Oryctolagus cuniculus: one gene and its partners. The protein of the gene in region 2 interacts with the protein of the main gene of each other region in a biochemical or structural test. Links are inferred from orthologs where the notes say so. Each region holds a gene or a part of one and is shown on either strand. Other genes may lie near its edges. The genes, in order: SOS1, PLCG1 and LCP2.

Region 1 (2,961 bases), on a different chromosome or scaffold from region 2:
GTCAGAATCACTATTCTGGGCTCAGCATATGCTGAGACAACCATTTCCCTGGTAGAGTGCCTTCACACGAAGCTTCAGATCTGTCTCTCCTGTCCTCTGTCTCTGTATGTATTTTTAAAGAACTGCTTGAAACCAAATTACTCTTACTTTACAGATTAAAACGTCATATTTCTTTAACCTTATCAATAGCTTTTGGTTTATAAAAACATACCCAAAACTAACTTCAGAAGAAAAGAAATAAACATGACTACATGAATCCTTATTAAACTAAGCCCAAATATTCTGAGATGTTCATCTATCCCAGTTTAAAATAAACTATATCTAAACAACTGATGATACTATAACTGTATTGATTCCAATTTCCAGATAACAAGATTTTCTACTTTACCTTAGATGGAGAAGATTCCGCTGGGGCAGATTCTGGTCGTCTTCGTGGAGGAACAGGAGGGGGGACAGGCACTTCATCAGTGCCCTTGGTTAAACTTATAGATGATACTGAAGCAGATCCTGTAGGATGTTACATTTTAAAAACAGTTCATGGGAATTTTATTTCATTTATTAATCTTGAAAAGATTTAGCTGGAAATTGATTATATCTATTAAAAGAACTATGTAGAAGTACCCAGTAGTATTTCATTTATTAAAGCAAACTGCTATAAATGCATGCAGAAATTTCTTAGCAGAATTTTTAGAAAAAAGCTGCCTAAGACACTGTTATTTTGATTCTTGAACAAAATAACATTCCCAGTGTCAATCTGTTATTGGGATTTTTAATTGAGTCTGATTCTCAGATTTTTGGGAGAGATAACAAACTATTAAAAAAATCTTTGGAATGGTAATTTTTGTTAAGTTTTGTGATGGGTTCATTTTTGCCTCTGACTTTGTTAGTATAGAAATTCCCAGGTCTTTCTGGATAGTTCCTGGGAATAGAGTTTCTGATCCTAACCTCTGTCCCCAGTGCCTCTCTCCAGCAGTTCTCTCAGTGGATGCAAGGGAAAGAATCTACTGTCCAGGGAAGGATTTCTCCGCATTTTGCTTAGGTATAGGTTATCCTTAGCGTATCAGCAAAATCAGCCTCTAATCTAAAAACTGGAGCTGCGATGAAACTATTTAAGATGACTAAGGCAGACACACAAAGTAAAGCTTCTACTGAGAACCTGTCTAACAGACATTTATGGTGACAAGGGCATAATGTAGGTATGTAAATCATTACACTCTGAAAGACAACACATGTGTAAGTTAGCTAGTTTATAAATACTATAAAAATGGACATGAAAAAATACTTAAGCCATCCAATCACTAAAATTATACTTGGTAGGATTTTTTTTCCCCTTTAGGCATTAAGCTTTTGTCAGTTAAATGTTACAAAATAATTTAAAAAGCACTTTGTGTTCTGAATTATTCAAATGATCAACTACCTTTTTCTTAAGAGACTATGTATACTAACTTTAGTGTACAATATTTTCCATTGTATAAATTTTGAAATCTTTTTTATGAAAGGACAGCAAAAATATTAATCTGTAAGCTTAATATAATTAAAATAATGGAATTGAATGGTTAGTTTACTTCAAAAGCAAAGAGCTACAATGCAACTTAATGATAACTACTTGGGCCTTATCATGTAAATAGCTGCAGTTATTTGCCTCCAGCCTAAGCTGTCTACCAAACTATGTATAGCTGTGATTCAGACACTGCTTTAGCTGCCAGCATTCCCATATGCGCATGCATGCTCTTGCTGCTGTTTTCAAAGTTGAGCAGTAAAATATATTCAGAACTCCATAGTGGGAAAAGAGAAATGGTTACATGGGGGAAGCCACTCATTTAATATGTTCTTTTAAAAGAGGGAAAAAAAAGTTTTTAAAAAAGCATGAAAAGTATATAAATTTAAGCAAATCACTTATGATTAAAAGATAGCACAAGTGAGGGCCTCACTTCTAAGATGTTGCAAGCAAGGTACCAATGCTGCCAGACCCAAGACGAGTTTTAGCAGGAAAGGTTACACTTGGTTTGATTTTTTAAAGCCAAAGCAAGAATTATGAGTCTTAAACCAAATATACTAACTTGGGCCATGGGGCAGTGTTACTTGGATAAAGACGGTATCGCTGCCTGTGAAAGGAAACAAGAAAAAGTAGATTTTTCTTTCATTGATATATTCAACCCATATGTAAAAATTTATGATGAAAGTGTTATTCTTGTCATTCTAATTCTAAAGAATGGTGTAACAATTTTTAATAAAAACTCATTATTACTTACTTTTGAGAAGAAAAAACTGAGTTAATATTTGGAACTTTGAAGATGTTTTAGATTTACTGTTTGATGTAATAATTAAATGACAAATATTCACAAGAAAACTATATTATTGTAAGACTAAGTTGCACAGATTAAATCAAGCAAAGAATTCAGGGGGCCATTCAGAAATGTCATTTACTAAAAATTATTTTGAAAATTCAAACTTGTGAAAGAAGTAATAAATAAGAAATTATTTTATACAAATTAAAAAGAAAAGGGAATTTCTTAGTACTTTATACTTTTGAAAAGTGTTCCTGGGACAGGTATTCTCATCACAAAATAACTACAGCTCTGGATATTCAAACAAGCTGAAAGTGATACAGCTTTTTTCCTTTTGTGGCAATAAACACTCTAAAAAAATCAGTAAAAGTTTGGGGCTGAAAGACATTTTTTGAAGGAAACTGATAAATTTAAAGTGTCTAATTTCAACAATATTAAAAAATGATGGTATAATTAGTACAATACAGAAATAAAATAAAATCACATCCGTTGACTATTACAGGTTGCAGTCTTTTTGAAAGAATTATACAGATGCATACACACTTATAGACATGGATGTAAAGTTGGCTTTGAACATGTTCACATATAGCATGGTCTTAGATTCAAACACTTGGTAAATTTGGGGCACATCTTTGGCCTTATTTCTTTTAACTCATTGGTTGGTCTCGCCATC
Region 2 (3,652 bases):
TCACACTAGCCGCCATTCATCCCCAATCTCTGAGATGGGCTGGCATCCCTGTTCTTGCCACTTGCCTCTGGGTGATCTTATCAGCTGCCACCATGGCTCTCCACAGCACCTTCACAGTCCCAAGTTAGTATCTCTAGCCCCAACTTCTCCCCTAAACCCCATTCTACCCTCTTACCTACTCAGTACCTCGGCCTACACATGACATCAGAACACTGAACACACCCTGAGCTGAACCCCTGATGTGTCCCCGTGGACTTCCCACTTCAGTCAATGCCAACTGTATTTTCCAGCTGCTCAAGACAAAAGCAGACTCCTTTCTCTCTCATATGCCAAAATCAATCTGCAAGGAAATTCTTTATGGCTCTATCTTTGAAATACAACATAGCCAAATCCATCCACTTCCTACTCTCACCACCCTGATCCCAGCCTGCTCATTTTTCCCCAGGAATGCCAGAGCAGCATAGGATCTTCAGCAACACTAAGTCACAGCACACCCAGGCTCAGAGGGCTTAACCACGGGACAGCATCCACACCACCTGGTTTTTGCTCCCTCATCTCCCTGGCCCCTCAGAATCCCCTCTTGGCCGGCGCCGCGGCTCAATAGGCTAATCCTCCACCTTGCGGCGCCGGCACACCGGGTTCTAGTCCCGGTCAGGGCGCCGGATTCTGTCCCGGTTGCCCCTCTTCCAGGCCAGCTCTCTGCTGTGGCCAGGGAGTGCAGTGGAGGATGGCCCAGGTGCTTGGGCCCTGCACCCCATGGGAGACCAGGAAAAGCACCTGGATCCTGGCTCCTGCTATCGGATCAGCGCGGTGCGCCGACTGCAGCGGCAGCCATTGGAGGGTGAACCAACGGCAAAAGGAAGACCTTTCTCTCTCTGTCTCTCTATCTCACTGTCCACTCTGCCTGTCAAAAAAGAATCCCCTCTTACATTTTAAGACACACTTCACATACTATCTGAGCCCCTGTTCCCCAGCTTCAGGACACCCATAGCCTGTTCTGCATTTCCATATTGTCACTTGCTTTCCTCACTAGCTTGTACCAAGGCTATCAGAAGGCTTTCTGCAGAGAACTACTTGTGCCAGGACCCTCTGTTCTTCCCCTACTCTACTTCAGGCAGATTCTTGGGGTCCCCTGGCTCTCCAGGTAGCTGCTCAGAGGCACGGCTATGGCTCTGCTTCTCCTATTCATAGCTTAGTACCTACCGATCCTCCCGATTCCGATCCACTGAGTAAAACTGTTTCCGAAGCCACCTGGAGAGAGAAAAACCCGAGGTGAGGAACACTTCTCCACCTAGGGCCAGGCCTGGGGAGGAGGGGAGCAGGCAGCATCTGGGCATCCGAAGGCTGCAGTCCCTGCCCCTGCTCCAAGGCCTCTGGCGCTAACCCTCTCAGGGGTGGTTCTCACCTCTCAATCTGCAGAGGTGTAGCTGCCTGCAATGTGTCCTCCATCAGCCAAGTTAAGCCCTTGATCCACATATTCACTTCATCCTCAGACGTTGCTGTTGAGCAAGGGAGAATAGCTGAACTGAGGGCACACTTGCTATGGGGCCAGGAACCAGCAGGTGCTCCTCTTAACTACCCCCACCTCCTCTAGCCCTCTGAAACCCACCTTGTAAGCTCAGGGTCTTCAGGCGGAATTCCATCCCATAGAGGATGACAAAGCAGTGTGACTGGTCTGGGCGGAAAGCGGGGTCCTCTTGATAGCGATCGAAGTCCCGTGAGGTCTTTCCTGGGCGGATCTCCTTGATTTCACGAATGTCAACTAGGAAAGCAGGGAAGAGGCCAAGGTCAGGCTGGAGACTCCCAGAGTCAGTACCAAGGGCAGCCCAGTTTCCTCACTTACTTGCATGTTTTCTCTCAGGGAAGGGATCACAAAGAAAGACAATGCCCTGTCCCAACCTCCAAGGCCAAGAGCCAAAAGCACTCAGTCACACTGAATGATAAAAGACAACTGGGCTGGGTCCAAACTCAAGCCTTTGCTAAGGGCTGAGAGGTCAGAAAAGGCTACCTGGCGACAGGGAGCTCTCTATGGAGACCTTCCCCCATCTTTGTTCTCTCAGAATACAGGCTGGACATTCTGACCTGGAAAAGAGCTGAACTCCAGAGAAGCAATGGGTTCCCAAGGGTGTTCTGTGAGGATCACTTCATGACACACAGCACACCCAAGCAGGGGCAGGGCTGGGGATGGACAGATCCACATGGGTCTCAGAATCTCAGGGAGAAAGCAGGCCCAGAAAACAGGTACATCTCTGAGATGTTCCAACCCCTAAAGACAGCCTTACACAATCTCAGCAAGAGGCCTAACTGCCCCTAAGGCAACACTGTCCAAGCAAAGCAGCCATCCTGGACTGTCATTTCCTGATCAGCTATCGAAGGGCCCTGCTACCCCTGCCCTCCCAAGGCATAGCCCTGAATAGCAGGCCCTATCTATCCCATCTATAACAGTGGACACTGCGTCTGGCCCCAATCCCAAATCTCTTGCCACAACAGTACTGATTCTACCTGGGCCCAACTCTCATCCCCTGAGCATCTAGTCCATCTCCCCCATCCTCTGCTGAGAGCCCTGCCTTTCCTGTTGGTGGCCCTGCCTCCTAGTTCTCACCAACCAGCCATCTTCCCAGTCTTCTGAATCTTCATAAAACATCGTTCTGATCCCTGTAGACCCCCCCCCCCCCACACACACACACACTGCCCACCACCAGCTTCAGGAGAACATGCTCCTTCTGTGGCCCTCCAAGTTCTCTGTGACGGGGGCTCAGAGATTTACCTCCCCAGCTTTTACCTCCCATCTCGTCTGCTTTATCCAAACTAACCTAACTTAGGGTGACAACAACTGGGGTTTCCTGTCCCCATTTTACCCTGGTCCCTGGCCTAAGGGTACCCACCTATCAGGATCCATTCTCTCCCACCAAAGCTCCAAAGGAGAAGCTCCTTTCTGTAGTAAACATATTCTTGGGCCCACTACATGAATGTATGCTCTTTATCTTCCCCAGGCCAGACAGGGCACCTCCAGTGGTTGCTGAATAATTAAATGAACACATGAAAAGAGCAGGTTTACAGGCCTGGGGAAGGACAATGAAATGGGATGGAGTAAGCATGACACATTACACTCTGGCAGAAAGGAGGGAGCGAACTGGGTCAGAGACCAGCTTGAGACCACAATCTCCAAGGATGGAAGGAAGAGCTTCCATCAGGCGAAACGCCCAGATCAGAAACTGCAGAGCCACACACTCTATCCTTGCAACAGAAACCAGTAAGCTTCCAGTGCAGTGCTACTGTCATCCCCTCCTACACCTTCTCACGAAGGCACACACACATAGCAATGTATGCAGGCCAGGGCCTGTGTGGCCCACGGCATGGGCCCTTCCTTTCAACTACCTTACCAGGCATCACATGTAGTCCAGTAATGTGAGTACCACTTGGCAGGCGGCTGGAGGGCCAGTCCAGGGACTACTGCTAGGCAACACACACAGGCAGAGCCACCATCAAGCCCTAGGTAAATTTCAGCCTGCCCTGTGTTCATTTCCACTGAGCCCAGACTGAAAGCAAAAGAGCCTGACCCAAGTCAGGGACCAAAGCAGGCAATAATCGCTCAAGGTCAAGCATACAATATTCCCAAGCACCCACTGGCCATACCTGGTCCCCTGTACTT
Region 3 (3,750 bases), on a different chromosome or scaffold from region 2:
GTGAAGAAATTAGAAGATTCCTACTCCTGTCTCCAGGGAATGTGCTTTTTGATTGAAACACATGATGTCATCAACAGTGAATAAAACATGAGCTGTAAACACACAGTGGAATCCAAGGCACCAGCTGTAGCAATTGTCACTTCTAGCTTTCTGATTTTTTCATTTGAAGGTTCTCAAGTTAAATGCATCTATTTGTTATGTGTGTATAAGGCAATTCCTCTGCTTTCCTATTTTACATATAGGGAAACTGAGCTCCCCAGATTTTAAGTCCTTGCCTAAGGTTGCACAGCACAGAGAAGCTCCCATCAGAAGGGAACCCGGGTTGGCCCAGGGTAGCGCCTTGCTCAGCCTTGGATGCCTGACGCACTACAGACTCACCCTCTCATTTCAATGGTAGCAGGCAGAGACTGCTAGAGACTAGGGCTGAGAGAAGAGGGAAGAAGGGGCATCATGCATGCGTCCCCCCACACCACAGCTCCCTGTTGCTGGAAGTTGTCTATATTTTAGGTCAATTGTCAGATGAATAGATATTCATCTGCAAAGCCCCAGCAGAGCAAGAACGTGGTGTAGACCCATGGGGTGGGGCTGAAGGGACAGGAGTTTTAACAGCAAAATGCTTGGGCTGGCTTCGGAGTTTAAGCGCCCTTCATGGCCCCTCCTGCTGGGCAGGGGTGCCCAGGACCACGGGCGAGGTGGAGAATGACCTGCCCTGTCACTCTGTCTGCATCTCAAGCCCTCAGAGCTGGGCTTCCTTGTTTACTTATTTAGAAGCCAGCAGAGGAAGTGGTAAAGGAAACTAGCCAAGTCGTTTTCTGAGAAGAGACCATATTTGTTCGCAGAGGAAGCTGCTGCTTTCTGGGATCCGACTACAGCAGAAAAGACGTCTGCTCCAACAAGGCCGATCCAGGGGCAGCTGGGAGTTGGGAGAGCCAAGGACGCCTCCAAGATCTGGATTTGGGGTTCTCTGTCCATGGGTGCAGCATCCACGCTCAACCTGTGAGCCCCCTCCTAAGACAGCGGCCATGGCACTGAGGAACGTGCCCTTTCGCTCCGAAGTCCTCGCCTGGGACCCTGACAGCCTTGCTGACTACTTTAAGAAGGTGAGACCCACTCTTTTGTTGGTGGTCGGGCTGGGAGTGCCCTCCATGGGCTGGGCAGAAGACAAGAGGTGTAAAAGACAGCTGTGGAGTGACTGGCCTCTCGGCAGCCTTGTTGGGAGAGTGAGCGCCATGGGAGACCACTGAGAGCTCCTTGCAGTGAGTTCTGGAGAGGAGGGTGGGAGCAGGAGCTCTTGAATGAGTAGGTGCCTACCATGTGCCAGGGCCTGAACTCGGTACACTGCAGCACTGTGCCATTGATCCCTCTTGACAATCTTCTGAGGTCAATATTGTCATCCCTGTGGCTCAGCTTCAAGGTAGGCTCAAGGAAGCTAAACAGCCCAAAGCCACAGGGACTACAGGTGGTAGTGACAGAAGGATTGGAGTCACTTCTGTGCAGTTTCAGTCTGTGCTCTGAGATGAAGAGAACTACATTCTAGAAAGGGGAGACCTGGTGCTCTGGGTGCAGAACAACAGGCAGGGAAGGAGGCAGGGGTAGAGGGTGAACAACGCTAGACATGGCGTTTGGCCACTCACTGCTCAGGGCCCAGAAAGCTGGGTCCTCAAGTTCTTACATAGATCAGAGTCTCACTGCAGTGGAGCCGGGACCAGGGTTGCTGTCCTACCTTCCAGACTTGGAAGAGATGCTCAAAGATCGTCTGCTTGTCCACCTGCTGGTGGGGATGACAGGACACAAGCCTGCCCGAGCAAGTATGGATCCTCTGTTCCTGTCTCTAGCATAGGATGCCTTGCAGGGGACATTTGCTCTCTTTTTTAAGATTTATTTATTTGTTTGAAAGTCAGAGTTACACAGAGAAAGGAGAGGCAGAGAGAGAGGGAGAGAAAGAGCGAAAGAGGTCTTCCATCTGCTAGTTCACTCCCCAGTTGGCTGCAACGGCCGGAGCTATGCCAATCCAAAGCCAGAAGCCAGGAACTTCCTCCAGGTCTCCCATGTGGGTGCAGGGGCCCAAGGACTTGGGCCATCTTCTACTGCTGTCCCAGGCCATAGCAGAAAGCTGGATCGGAAGTGCAGCAGCCCATATGGGATGCCGGCGCTTCAGGCCAGGGCGTTAACCCACTGTACCACAGCACCAGCCGAAGGGACATTTGCTCTTCTAACATCCTCTTCCCTGCAGGCTGGCACCACATTTAGTTGATACTGCAGACCAGCATAAAGAAGAGCTTGTAGCACTAAGACTTTACATGTCATCTCACTTAACTGTTTTTCCTGGGGAAACTGAGCCCCGCGGGGGTGGAATAGGCTCTCTGGGACACATAGCTGAACCTGAGGTCTCATAGTACCAAGGTATTTGCAGTGATGATGGTTCTTCCCCAGCCTAAAAACAAAAACCTTGAACCAGGTGTGGCATGGTAGGGGCACAGCCCCACAGAGCCTGTCGTTTTCTGTTTCTTGTGCATTTCACTTCTGTTGTCCCCTCTGCCTCCACCCCACACATGTATAAAGTCATAACAAAACTAGGTTTTGGGTTTGTAGATGCAAAGATCATTGGACAACTGGCCCGACTGGCCTTTGAAGAGTGTTTCTAATACTTCTCTGAGATAGGGCGATCAAAGGTAAAATTTGCCCAGATGGAAGTATGTGGTACGTTATTGCAATAAAGAAGGGAGAAAGGAGTTGAGAGTTACAGAGGGAAAGGCCCAGGAGAGGCTGAGGGGCTATTTCAAATGTGGTCAGAAAAATTTCACAACTCAGCTGACCGACAGAGAGTCTGTAGACAAAGTTCCTGTCAGCGCAGGGCGATAGGACAGACTGGAGGGCAGGACACAGCTCTCTGTCTGAGTTCGGGGAAGAGATGATTCTCTTCTTGGAGTTCTAAGACCTTGCAAAAACTGCATAGCACTGGGCCAGGTTCCCCTCCCGGCACAAAAGGACCCAGGTAGGAACAAGGAGGCAGAGGGGAATCTGTGACCCTGGAAGTCCCAGGCCATCTCAGTCCCCAAGAGACAGAACCAGGAGCGCACTGACTGCAAGTTCATTTGGGGATGGATCTTAGTGATCAAGCATACCCATTTAACGCATCAGTGGGTAGGCGTTTGGTGGGTGCAGCTTCTACCCACGTGTCAGGGTCAGGCTTCCCTCAGTGATACCACGCTGCCCAACTCTGGAGTCAGACACACCTTGTTGGAACCCTGGCTCTGCCACCTGCTAGTTTGGTGGCCTTCCCTTAGCTACTTCGCCTCTCTGAGCAAGTCAGTCCTCAAGAGAGAAAACATTGCTCAACACAGGGTCATCTGGGGATGGATCTTGGAAATAAAATGTATCATTTCACGGGTTGATTGGTAGATGATTGGAAGGCAATTGGTAGGCACAAGTTCTACCAAAGCAGGCAATTAAACAGACATGAAGGGTAACAAACCCAGTGGAATGGTTGAGAGGAGTAAAGGAAATAGTGTATGTGAGGCATTCAGCAGACAGAGGTATCAAAATGTTTATTGCTCCCAGTTTCCTGCTGTGTTAACTGGCCACTCATTGGTATGTGGATCGCAGGGCTCTAAGTCTTTTTACCTCAGATGTGTTTCTCATCCTGTATCTGGGATTAAGACCTAGGCCGTGTTTGGTGATGGCTTAATCCCTCCAATTCTTATCAACACGGAGGGACAACACCCCTGGGCCCTGCCCTGGAGAGACACT

The links.
Region 1: the proteins of PLCG1 (region 2) and SOS1 form a complex in vitro, tested with the Homo sapiens proteins (2 studies listed by BioGRID and IntAct, with this or other methods). The link is inferred for Oryctolagus cuniculus from reciprocal best matches to the Homo sapiens genes PLCG1 and SOS1.
Region 3: the proteins of PLCG1 (region 2) and LCP2 form a complex in vitro, tested with the Homo sapiens proteins (2 studies listed by BioGRID). The link is inferred for Oryctolagus cuniculus from reciprocal best matches to the Homo sapiens genes PLCG1 and LCP2.

Annotation. Positions count from the first base shown.
Region 1 is NC_091433.1:163,884,256-163,887,216, reverse strand, and holds part of SOS1 (son of sevenless homolog 1), read right to left. Parts: exon of another isoform or gene 2,106-2,961; coding exon 2,061-2,105; exon of another isoform or gene 508-2,060; coding exon 389-507; exon of another isoform or gene 1-388.
Region 2 is NC_091442.1:17,781,738-17,785,389, forward strand, and holds part of PLCG1 (1-phosphatidylinositol 4,5-bisphosphate phosphodiesterase gamma-1), read right to left. Parts: intron 1,763-3,652; coding exon 1,610-1,762; intron 1,500-1,609; coding exon 1,406-1,499; intron 1,252-1,405; coding exon 1,204-1,251; intron 1-1,203. UniProt on the Homo sapiens protein: Mediates the production of the second messenger molecules diacylglycerol (DAG) and inositol 1,4,5-trisphosphate (IP3). Plays an important role in the regulation of intracellular signaling cascades.
Region 3 is NC_091437.1:57,184,271-57,188,020, reverse strand, and holds the start of LCP2 (lymphocyte cytosolic protein 2), read left to right. Parts: upstream 1-809; 5' UTR 810-1,022; coding exon 1,023-1,100; intron 1,101-3,750. UniProt on the Homo sapiens protein: Adapter protein primarily involved in signaling pathways within T-cells, as well as other immune cells such as platelets, mast cells, and natural killer (NK) cells.